Sus scrofa: one gene and its partner. Each later gene encodes a partner of the first gene's protein in a complex. Links are inferred from orthologs where the notes say so. Each region holds a gene or a part of one and is shown on either strand. Other genes may lie near its edges.

Region 1 (4,276 bases):
CTCTTCCTTTTCTTCCCTCCTTCCTTTCTCCCTGGCTGCGGCATACAGCGGCTTGGTGCAGGATCTTTGTGAAAGCACCAAGTCCTAACCACTAAACCACCAGGGAACTCCCAGGACCAGCTTGCTTCTTATACAAGGAGCTCCAAGTGAAGAGTTGGGATTCGAACTCCGGGTCCTTCTGGCTCTGTGGCTGGGGCTGTAAAGAAAGCCTTGGCCTGGGACGTGCCAGTCCCTGCCTCTTCCCCAACAGCAAAGGATTCTAGGTCCTAGTCCGCCTCCATTTCCCAAGCAGAGTGGTGGGGACCCCCCGAAGGGGCCAGCTCCGACCCAGACAATAATGGCCAACAGGTTTCACCCTCTTGCTACCCAATATGGCAGCCACTGGCCCCACATGGACACAGCACTTAGAATTCGCTATTCTGAATGGACACGTGCTGTCAGTGTAAAATGCATACCGGGTTTTGGAGACTTAACATGAGAGGAACCATAAAATACCTCTACAGCTTTTTTCTTTTTTTAAGGGCTGTTCCCGGGCCAGGGGTCAAAATGGAGCTGCAGCTACTGGCCTATAGATCTTTTTCGAAAAAAATTTTATGGCCGCCATCTGTGTGTGGCATATGGAAGTTCCCATGCCAGGGATTGAAACCGAGCCACAGCTGTGGCAAGCCAGGTCTTTTAATCCACTGCACCGGGCTGGGGAACAAACCTGCACCTCCGCAGGAACTCGAGCTGCTACAGCCAGATTCTTAATCCTCTGTGCCATGGTGGGAACTCCTCAACTACCTCCGTACCTTTTTTTTTTTTTTTGTCCTTTGTATTTTTAGGGCCACACCCGCAGCATATGGAGATTCCCAGGCTCGGGGTCTAATTGGAGCTACACCTGCCAGCCTACACCACAACTCACAGCAATGCCGGATCCTTAACCCACTGAGCAAGGCCAGGGACCAAACCTGCACCCTCATGGTTCCTAGTTGGATTCATTTCCACTGAGCCAGGACACTGGAACGACTCCTCTGTAACTTTTTATACCGATTACAGACTAAAGTGATACTGCAGATATACTAGGTTAAATAAAACATGCTACTCAACTATACTTGTTTCTTTTTACTTTTTAAACTTAGTTACTACAAAGTGTCACAGTGCACATTTATGTATCTGTGGACAGTCCTGCTTCCAGGCATTAACTTGAGTCTTCCCCACGTTCTGGAACAGGCTGCGCTATCAATCAGAGGCCCCAAAGCTGGTGAGCCAGTACCTCAGAAAGGATGTCCACCAGGGCCTTCTGGGGCTGCTCCTGCAGGTGGTTGTAGTGCTGAGCCAGGACTTGCAGCAGCTTCACCGACTTCATCAGCACCTCCGAGTCCTGGGACCCCCCCAGAAGGGGACAGGGTGTCAACAGGGCTCTGCCACTCCTCCAACTCCCAAGCTAGTCCACACGCGCCCTGGGATCCCCAAGGCTCTTACCTTCACCAGCCTGCCTGACTGAAAGAGGGCTAGCACCCCAAACAGGTTTGCAAAGAGAGCTGGTCTCATCATCCCCTGGAAAAGGATTCCAGGCACTGGTGAGAAGGGCCCAAGCGCTCCCCACCCCGGGGCTGCCGACTTCCCTGGGGCCACTAATTCTCACCTTCTTCACCTTCTGCAGGTTATACTTCTCCTGTATCTGCTGCAAGATGCTGCAGAGAGGGATGTCTTCAAAAGACTGTAACAGCTGCCAGGAGGAAGAGAGGGGCTCAGGGGAGCGGCCCAGCCACATCCCTCAGACCTCAACCTCCTCCCACTTCTCCCTTCAACTTCTGCCCAGAGTCCATGGGCCCCTGCTCCCATCCAAAGGACGCCTCAAAAGCTGCCTACGCCCCACCCCATGCTGGGCAGTGCTGACGATGGAACACTGCAGTGAATGGAGAGAAATCTTGCCTCCCTGTTTCAGAAAGTACTTCCTTTAGCCCCTGGACTGTGCCCCGAGATCCCCGAGACATTCTGCCCCAGAGCCTGCTGAGCTCCCCCCAGGCTGATCCACAAGGACTGGGTGGCCTATAATTAGCCAAGTGGGGGGGGCGGACCCTGAACCCTAAAAAGGTAAGTGAACCCACTCCAAAGCTTACTGCCCACAGTAAATGTACCTTGGTGGTTGGTGAACCCATGTACTCAAAAGCAAACTCACCCTCCCACTCCACCTGCCTGGGCGTCTCTGCAGAAAGATCTTGCTCACACACTCTCTCCACGTCCACGTGGGGACACCCTCCATTAGCTCCGACGCCACCCCAACAACCTCTCAGCAGCCACTTCCCCCGTATCTGCCCTCCTCACTCCCCACCGCTCCGAGTAGGATGGCTGGCCTCCTCCAGGGAGCCACCACCTCACCTGTGCTAGGGCCAGACTGTAGCAGGGCCGGGCTGTTTCACGTCCGACCCCGAGCCCGGTGATTAGGCGCTTCAGGGCGTACTTCATCTCGGACGATCCCTGAGGAACCAAGCACATCCCCAGGTGCACCAGGGAAAAGACGCGTCAGGCACCCGCCCATCCTCGCGCTTCGGCGCGCATTCGCCTCGGCCTCCAGGTTCGCGACTCCATGACCCCAGTCCCGAGTCCTGGGGCCCGCCGCCATATTTTTGCCGGGATCTACGCAGCTTCCTGCCCCCAAGCCCCGCAGATTCCTGCCCCAGGCCCCGCCACCACACCTTTGGCCTTGCGCGCAGATACTCCAGCAGCTTCTCCGTGGCCTCAAGCCGCGTCTCCTGCTGCGGCTTCGCAATGTCCCAGAAGAAGTCCAAGAACTCGCGGCTGTGCTTCAGCAGACCATGACGGTCGGCAGGCCCGGCGCCCGTCTTCGGGACCTCCACCGGAGACACAGGCTCAGCGACGTCCATACTCTCCGTCTCCGCCATGCTCGTGGAACACGTGGGACCTGAAGACTGCCTCTTCCGGGTCAGGTCGCGGCGCGTGCGCACTGGGTTGGGTCGGCTGGGGGCGGAGCCGGTTGGGGGCGGGGGAAAGGGCGGGGCCGGGCCGGGCCGGGGGCGGCTGGGCCCTTCCGCGCTCACTCAGGGAGCTCAGGAGTTTGGATTTTATTCTGATTGTAATAGGAAGTCATTGGAGGGTTTTATGCAGGGACAAGTCTTGATCCTATCCATACTTTTAGCAGACTAGTCTTCTTTGTGTGGGGGATGGATTGCAGGAGAGCAGGGGTGGAAGCAGGAAGACCAGTTGCACAGTGGTGGATTGGACCAAGGTAATATGAGAAAATTCCAGCTAATTTGGAGCTGGTAGAAGGTGATGAAAAAGAGAAGGATGATAGGTTTGGGGCCAAAATAAGTGGGTAGATTGTGAGAGTTCCCCTTGTAGCTCAGTGGCTTAAGAATCTGACTAATATCCGTGAGGATGCAGGTTTGGTCCCTGGCCTCATCCAATGGGTTAAGGATCTGGTGTTGCCGAAAGCGGAGGCTTTAAGTCACAGACACATCTTGGATCTGACGTTGCTGTGGCTGTGATGTAGACCGGCAGCTGCAGCTCCCTCCGATTTGACCCCTGTCCTGGGAACTTCCATATTCTGGAGGTGTGGCCCCTAAAAAAAGAAAAACAAAGAAAGTGGGTAGACTGTGATATCATTTACTGAGCTGGGGGAACTAGTGTTTGTGGGGGGAGCAAGGAGGGAGAGGTGGTGGGATCAAAAGTCCTCTTAGATCAGAGATACCGTTTACAGTGCAGGAGAGGAGAGCTACTGGCCACCCCTATTTCTTGGCTTGACAAGCTGTCTCTAGAGGGTTATAGTTCAGAGAGACCCCAGCCCTTAGGGAGGCAGGGAGGGGAGGGCCTTGGCTACCCAGATCCGGCCCCTTTTGTGGCCCCCGGGGCACCTCCTACTCACCCTCTCAACCCCTCCCTCTGCTGTCTGTTTCAGAAAATGTGAATAAGCAGTTGGGAGTTTCCTTTGTGGTGCTAGCGGTTAACGAATCTGACTAGGAACCATGAGGTTGCAGGTTCGATCCCTGGCCTTGCTCGGTGGGTTGGGGATCCGGTGTTGCCGTGAGCTGTGGTGTAGGTTGCAGACGCTGCTCGGATCCCACGTTGCTGTGGCTCTGGCGTAGGCCGGCAGCTGCAGCTCCGATTTGACCTCTAGCCTGGGAACGTCCATATGCTGCGGGAGCAGCCCTAGAAAAGGCAAAAAGACAAAAAGAAAAAAAAGAAAATGTGAATAAGCAGTTTACTTTGTACACATGGTGCCTCAGGAGGCAGAAGGTAAGCAGAACAGGGGGGGAGCAAAAAATCACCAGGC
Region 2 (3,650 bases), on another chromosome or scaffold:
TTGTTTGCCCATTATACTTTCTCTGCAAAATTCCAACCCGGAATTGGTCTAACTACCAACTTCCAACTTTCCTATGGTTAACTTTGAAAAGAATGGTCCCTTTTTAAGTTCATGGTATTCGAAGTCAAAGGCTCCCTAGAAATCCCAAGGAATTCTTATCAGGTCCCCTTGCATTCTCATCAGTGGCAATTTCACCCCCTTATTCCAGTGTCCCACACTCTTGCTCTCAGCCAAGAAGCCATTACTATGAGTTCCTTCCCCTTTCTGATGTACCCGTTCCTCTCACCAGTTCATTCGTATCTGGATTCATCAACAGTTCCGTTTCCTTTACGTCTGCAGAGACCCACCCTTAGGGCTCCTATACCTCAGCTTCTCCTATCCCAGCACTGTCCCTTAGCCCAACACATGCTTCTGCTTTCCCTCCCTGACCTTAAAATCGAGTTTTTACCAACTTGTATCTTCCCCCAATTTCATTACTAAAACAGAAGCTTTAATTCATTCACTTTCCCTCAACTATTAATTCTCAGTCCAAGGGTAAATAACTCTTGCATTTACCACCCTTCAAAACGGCTCTTATGTGAACAAACTAGATGTCCAACGACAGATGAATGGATTAAGAACATGTGGTATATTCAATGGAATACTACTCCACCATAAAAAAGAACAAAGTGATGCCATTTACAGCAGCATGGATGGAACCAACAATTCTCATACTAAGTGAAATTAAGTCAGAAAGAAAAAGACAAATACCACATATCACTTATATCTGGAATCTAAAACATGGCACAAATGAGCCTATCTTCTGAAAAGAAAGTAACTCATGGACTTGGAAAACAGACGTGTGGCTGTCAAGGGAGAGGGGGAGGGAGTGGGATGGACTGGGAGTTTGGGGTTAATAGATGCAAACAAACTATTGTATTTGGAGTGGATGAGCAATGAGATCCTGCTGTATAGCACAGGGAATGATATCTGGTCACTTGTGATGGAACATTATGGAGGATAATGTGAGAAAAAGAATGTGTGTGTGTGTGTGTGTGTATACGTATGACCGAGTCACTTTGCTGTAGAGCAGAAATTGAGAGAACACTGTAAATCAACTAGAATAGAAAAAGCGAAAATCTTAAAAATAAAAATAAATTTTAACATACCACCTAATTATTCTCCCAAGTTGTTACAGCTTAAAGGATGAGAGTTTATTTCCCTCTACCCTTGCCAACCCTGAAAACTGTTTATAAAGATTTTGTTAAAGCTAATAAACAAAAACATTTCCTTTCCATTTCTATCTTCCTCAGGAGTAGGGAAGGTTGTTTTCATGTTTACAGGTCATTATGTTTCTTTCCTGTGAACTGCCTTTCCATGGCCATTGTCCTGTCTAAAGTCAAATACTTTTTCCTACTTGGCACTACCCCTTCCTGACTGTCTTTGTGAAACTCTGCTCACTTGGCTTTTAAACCACTACTCTCTCTGGCCTGCCTTCTACTACTGACTACATTTCTTGTATTTTGTAGCAATTACTTCTCAACAATTTGATGCTGTTAATGGTCTCCAGGACTCTGTCCTTTGCTTTTCTCACCCTTCCTCTTCTTCGCTGGGCCACCTCACCTATACTTCTGGTTTACTTCCAGGAACAGGCTGGTCTAGGTTTCTCTCCTACCTGTAGAATTATACTGTTCACAATTTTTCCCACTTGTATGTTTCAAGAACCCCATCTAAAAATGTCTAGAGCAAAACTCGATTCCTCAAAAACTAAGGCTTCTTTTGGTTCTATCCCCTACTCTGATTAATGCACCCAAGCCCTTCCTTCCTACCCACAAGGAAGCAACCTGTGACTAGGCTCTCCTGACTTCAAACTTGGACTATAGTAAACCTGTAACTCTGATTATGATGTAAACTGGGTTTCTCTTGCCTCTCATCTCCTATTTTACCAGTCTGTTCTTCTTGATGTGTCTAGGATGACTCTTAAAAAAAAAAAAAAATCTGATGGTGTTATGTCCCTGCCAAACAGCTCTCAATAACCTACTCAGACTCCCAATTCCCCATTAGCCTCCCGAAGAAAATCAAATTCTTTAACAAGTCATATGTAAAATCTGGAAACTTTCAGTGTTCTTTCCTAACTTCTGCGAAGAATTCCTTCCAACTCTAGTCTTCAGCCAAATTAAACTAATGACTATTCCTCATAGTCATTATTTTATGTGGATGTGTCAACAGTCTTTAACAGTATGAATGCTGGAGCTCCAAGACGCCTTTTCAGATCCCCACCTCCTAGTCCCAAGCAGGTACTCTGTCCTGTGGGTAGTGGCACCTCCACACTCTTATAACACAGCTCTCACACACAATACTCCAGTGACTACACAGCTGTCTCTTCCCACGAGACCACAAGACCACTGAAGCCAAGTAACGGCTTCTGCAGTTCGACCTCTAACATCTATCCTGGTGCCTGATGGAGGCTCAGTGAATGCTGAATGAGGAAACAAAACAATAATCAATGTCTTAAAGAATATTTCCCCTTTGGTACCTTTCAAATTTCAATTTCATTTTACTATGAAAAGTAGGCTTTGAAATCTTCCAGTTTTGATCTAGAATATGGAATCTCTATGGAATCATACTCAAGATTAGATCACTTTATTTCCTGAGAAGTAACAAAAGAGCTTCACAGAAGTTTGAGCTAAAAACCTAATCTACAAGATCTCATTTAACACAGTAACACTGAAAATAAGGGGGTCCACAAGATTCTGCTTTTAAAAACATAACCTAGAGACACATCAATAAAAATAGTTTCCAGATGAGGACGAGAACATTTCCTATGAAGTTTGGAATGTATCACCTTAAAGGTCACTGTGTGCATTCTACTGTTATTTATGAAATGACTCCAATGGGGCAAATATTTATTGAACTGACATGTTCAATAAACATTTGTTCAATGAATGAATATACATAAGAATCTAGCTTTGAATTGAGGGATGGGTGAAAGAATGATCAAATAAAAGCAAAATGATCTCAGCATCTGCCCAATCACCTCTTTGCAAATCTGCTTCATTGTGACTTCCTCCAAGTTAGCACTGGCCAATAACTTCTTTACTGTTTCCTTTAACTCTTCATCTGTAGGCGGTTTCTTCAACTTTTTAATGAGAGGTTCATCATCTGAACTATCTTCAGATTCACTTTCTAAAAGTAAGATTTTATTACATGAGAATAAATATTTGTACATAATAAATTAACATTCAAGATACAGAACAATTCTGTAAGTATTCGCCAGAAGCTCAAAGGAGATTAGATCAAAAAAATTATAAATCACCACTCTACATTACCTATAAAACATGCACTGGAATTGTCAATTTTGAAAAATTATAAAAACTGGGACACTACTGCCCCCCAGTGTCCTCCAGTTTAGCTATTTTTCACACAGGCTTAAAACTACGTTGCGGCACATAAGTTATATCTTTATAGTTGCTGAAAATGTTTCATTTCCAACGTACCTTTTTTGGAACTGTTTTGATTCTTCTTGGTGGTGCTGCTATCTGCCTTTTTAACATTAGCACTTTTTACAGATTTTTTACTTTTAGAAGTGGCTTTCTGTTTGGGTTTTTCTTTTTTGGCTGTCTTTTTTGGTGGCTGTTGGAAAAAAAATCAAAGTACATACAGTGATGAGA

The links. The genes of interacting proteins can lie anywhere in the genome.
Region 2: MYBBP1A (region 1) and DEK share a complex: the UniProt entries of both Homo sapiens proteins name them as parts of the B-WICH complex. The link is inferred for Sus scrofa from reciprocal best matches to the Homo sapiens genes MYBBP1A and DEK.

Annotation. Positions count from the first base shown.
Region 1 is NC_010454.4:50,503,140-50,507,415, forward strand, and holds the start of MYBBP1A (myb-binding protein 1A), read right to left. Parts: upstream 2,938-4,276; 5' UTR 2,889-2,937; coding exon 2,682-2,888; intron 2,464-2,681; coding exon 2,365-2,463; intron 1,712-2,364; coding exon 1,628-1,711; intron 1,540-1,627; coding exon 1,465-1,539; intron 1,364-1,464; coding exon 1,256-1,363; intron 1-1,255. UniProt on the Homo sapiens protein: May activate or repress transcription via interactions with sequence specific DNA-binding proteins. Repression may be mediated at least in part by histone deacetylase activity (HDAC activity).
Region 2 is NC_010449.5:13,904,432-13,908,081, forward strand, and holds part of DEK (protein DEK), read right to left. Parts: intron 3,613-3,650; coding exon 3,477-3,612; intron 3,166-3,476; coding exon 3,017-3,165; intron 1-3,016. UniProt on the Homo sapiens protein: Involved in chromatin organization.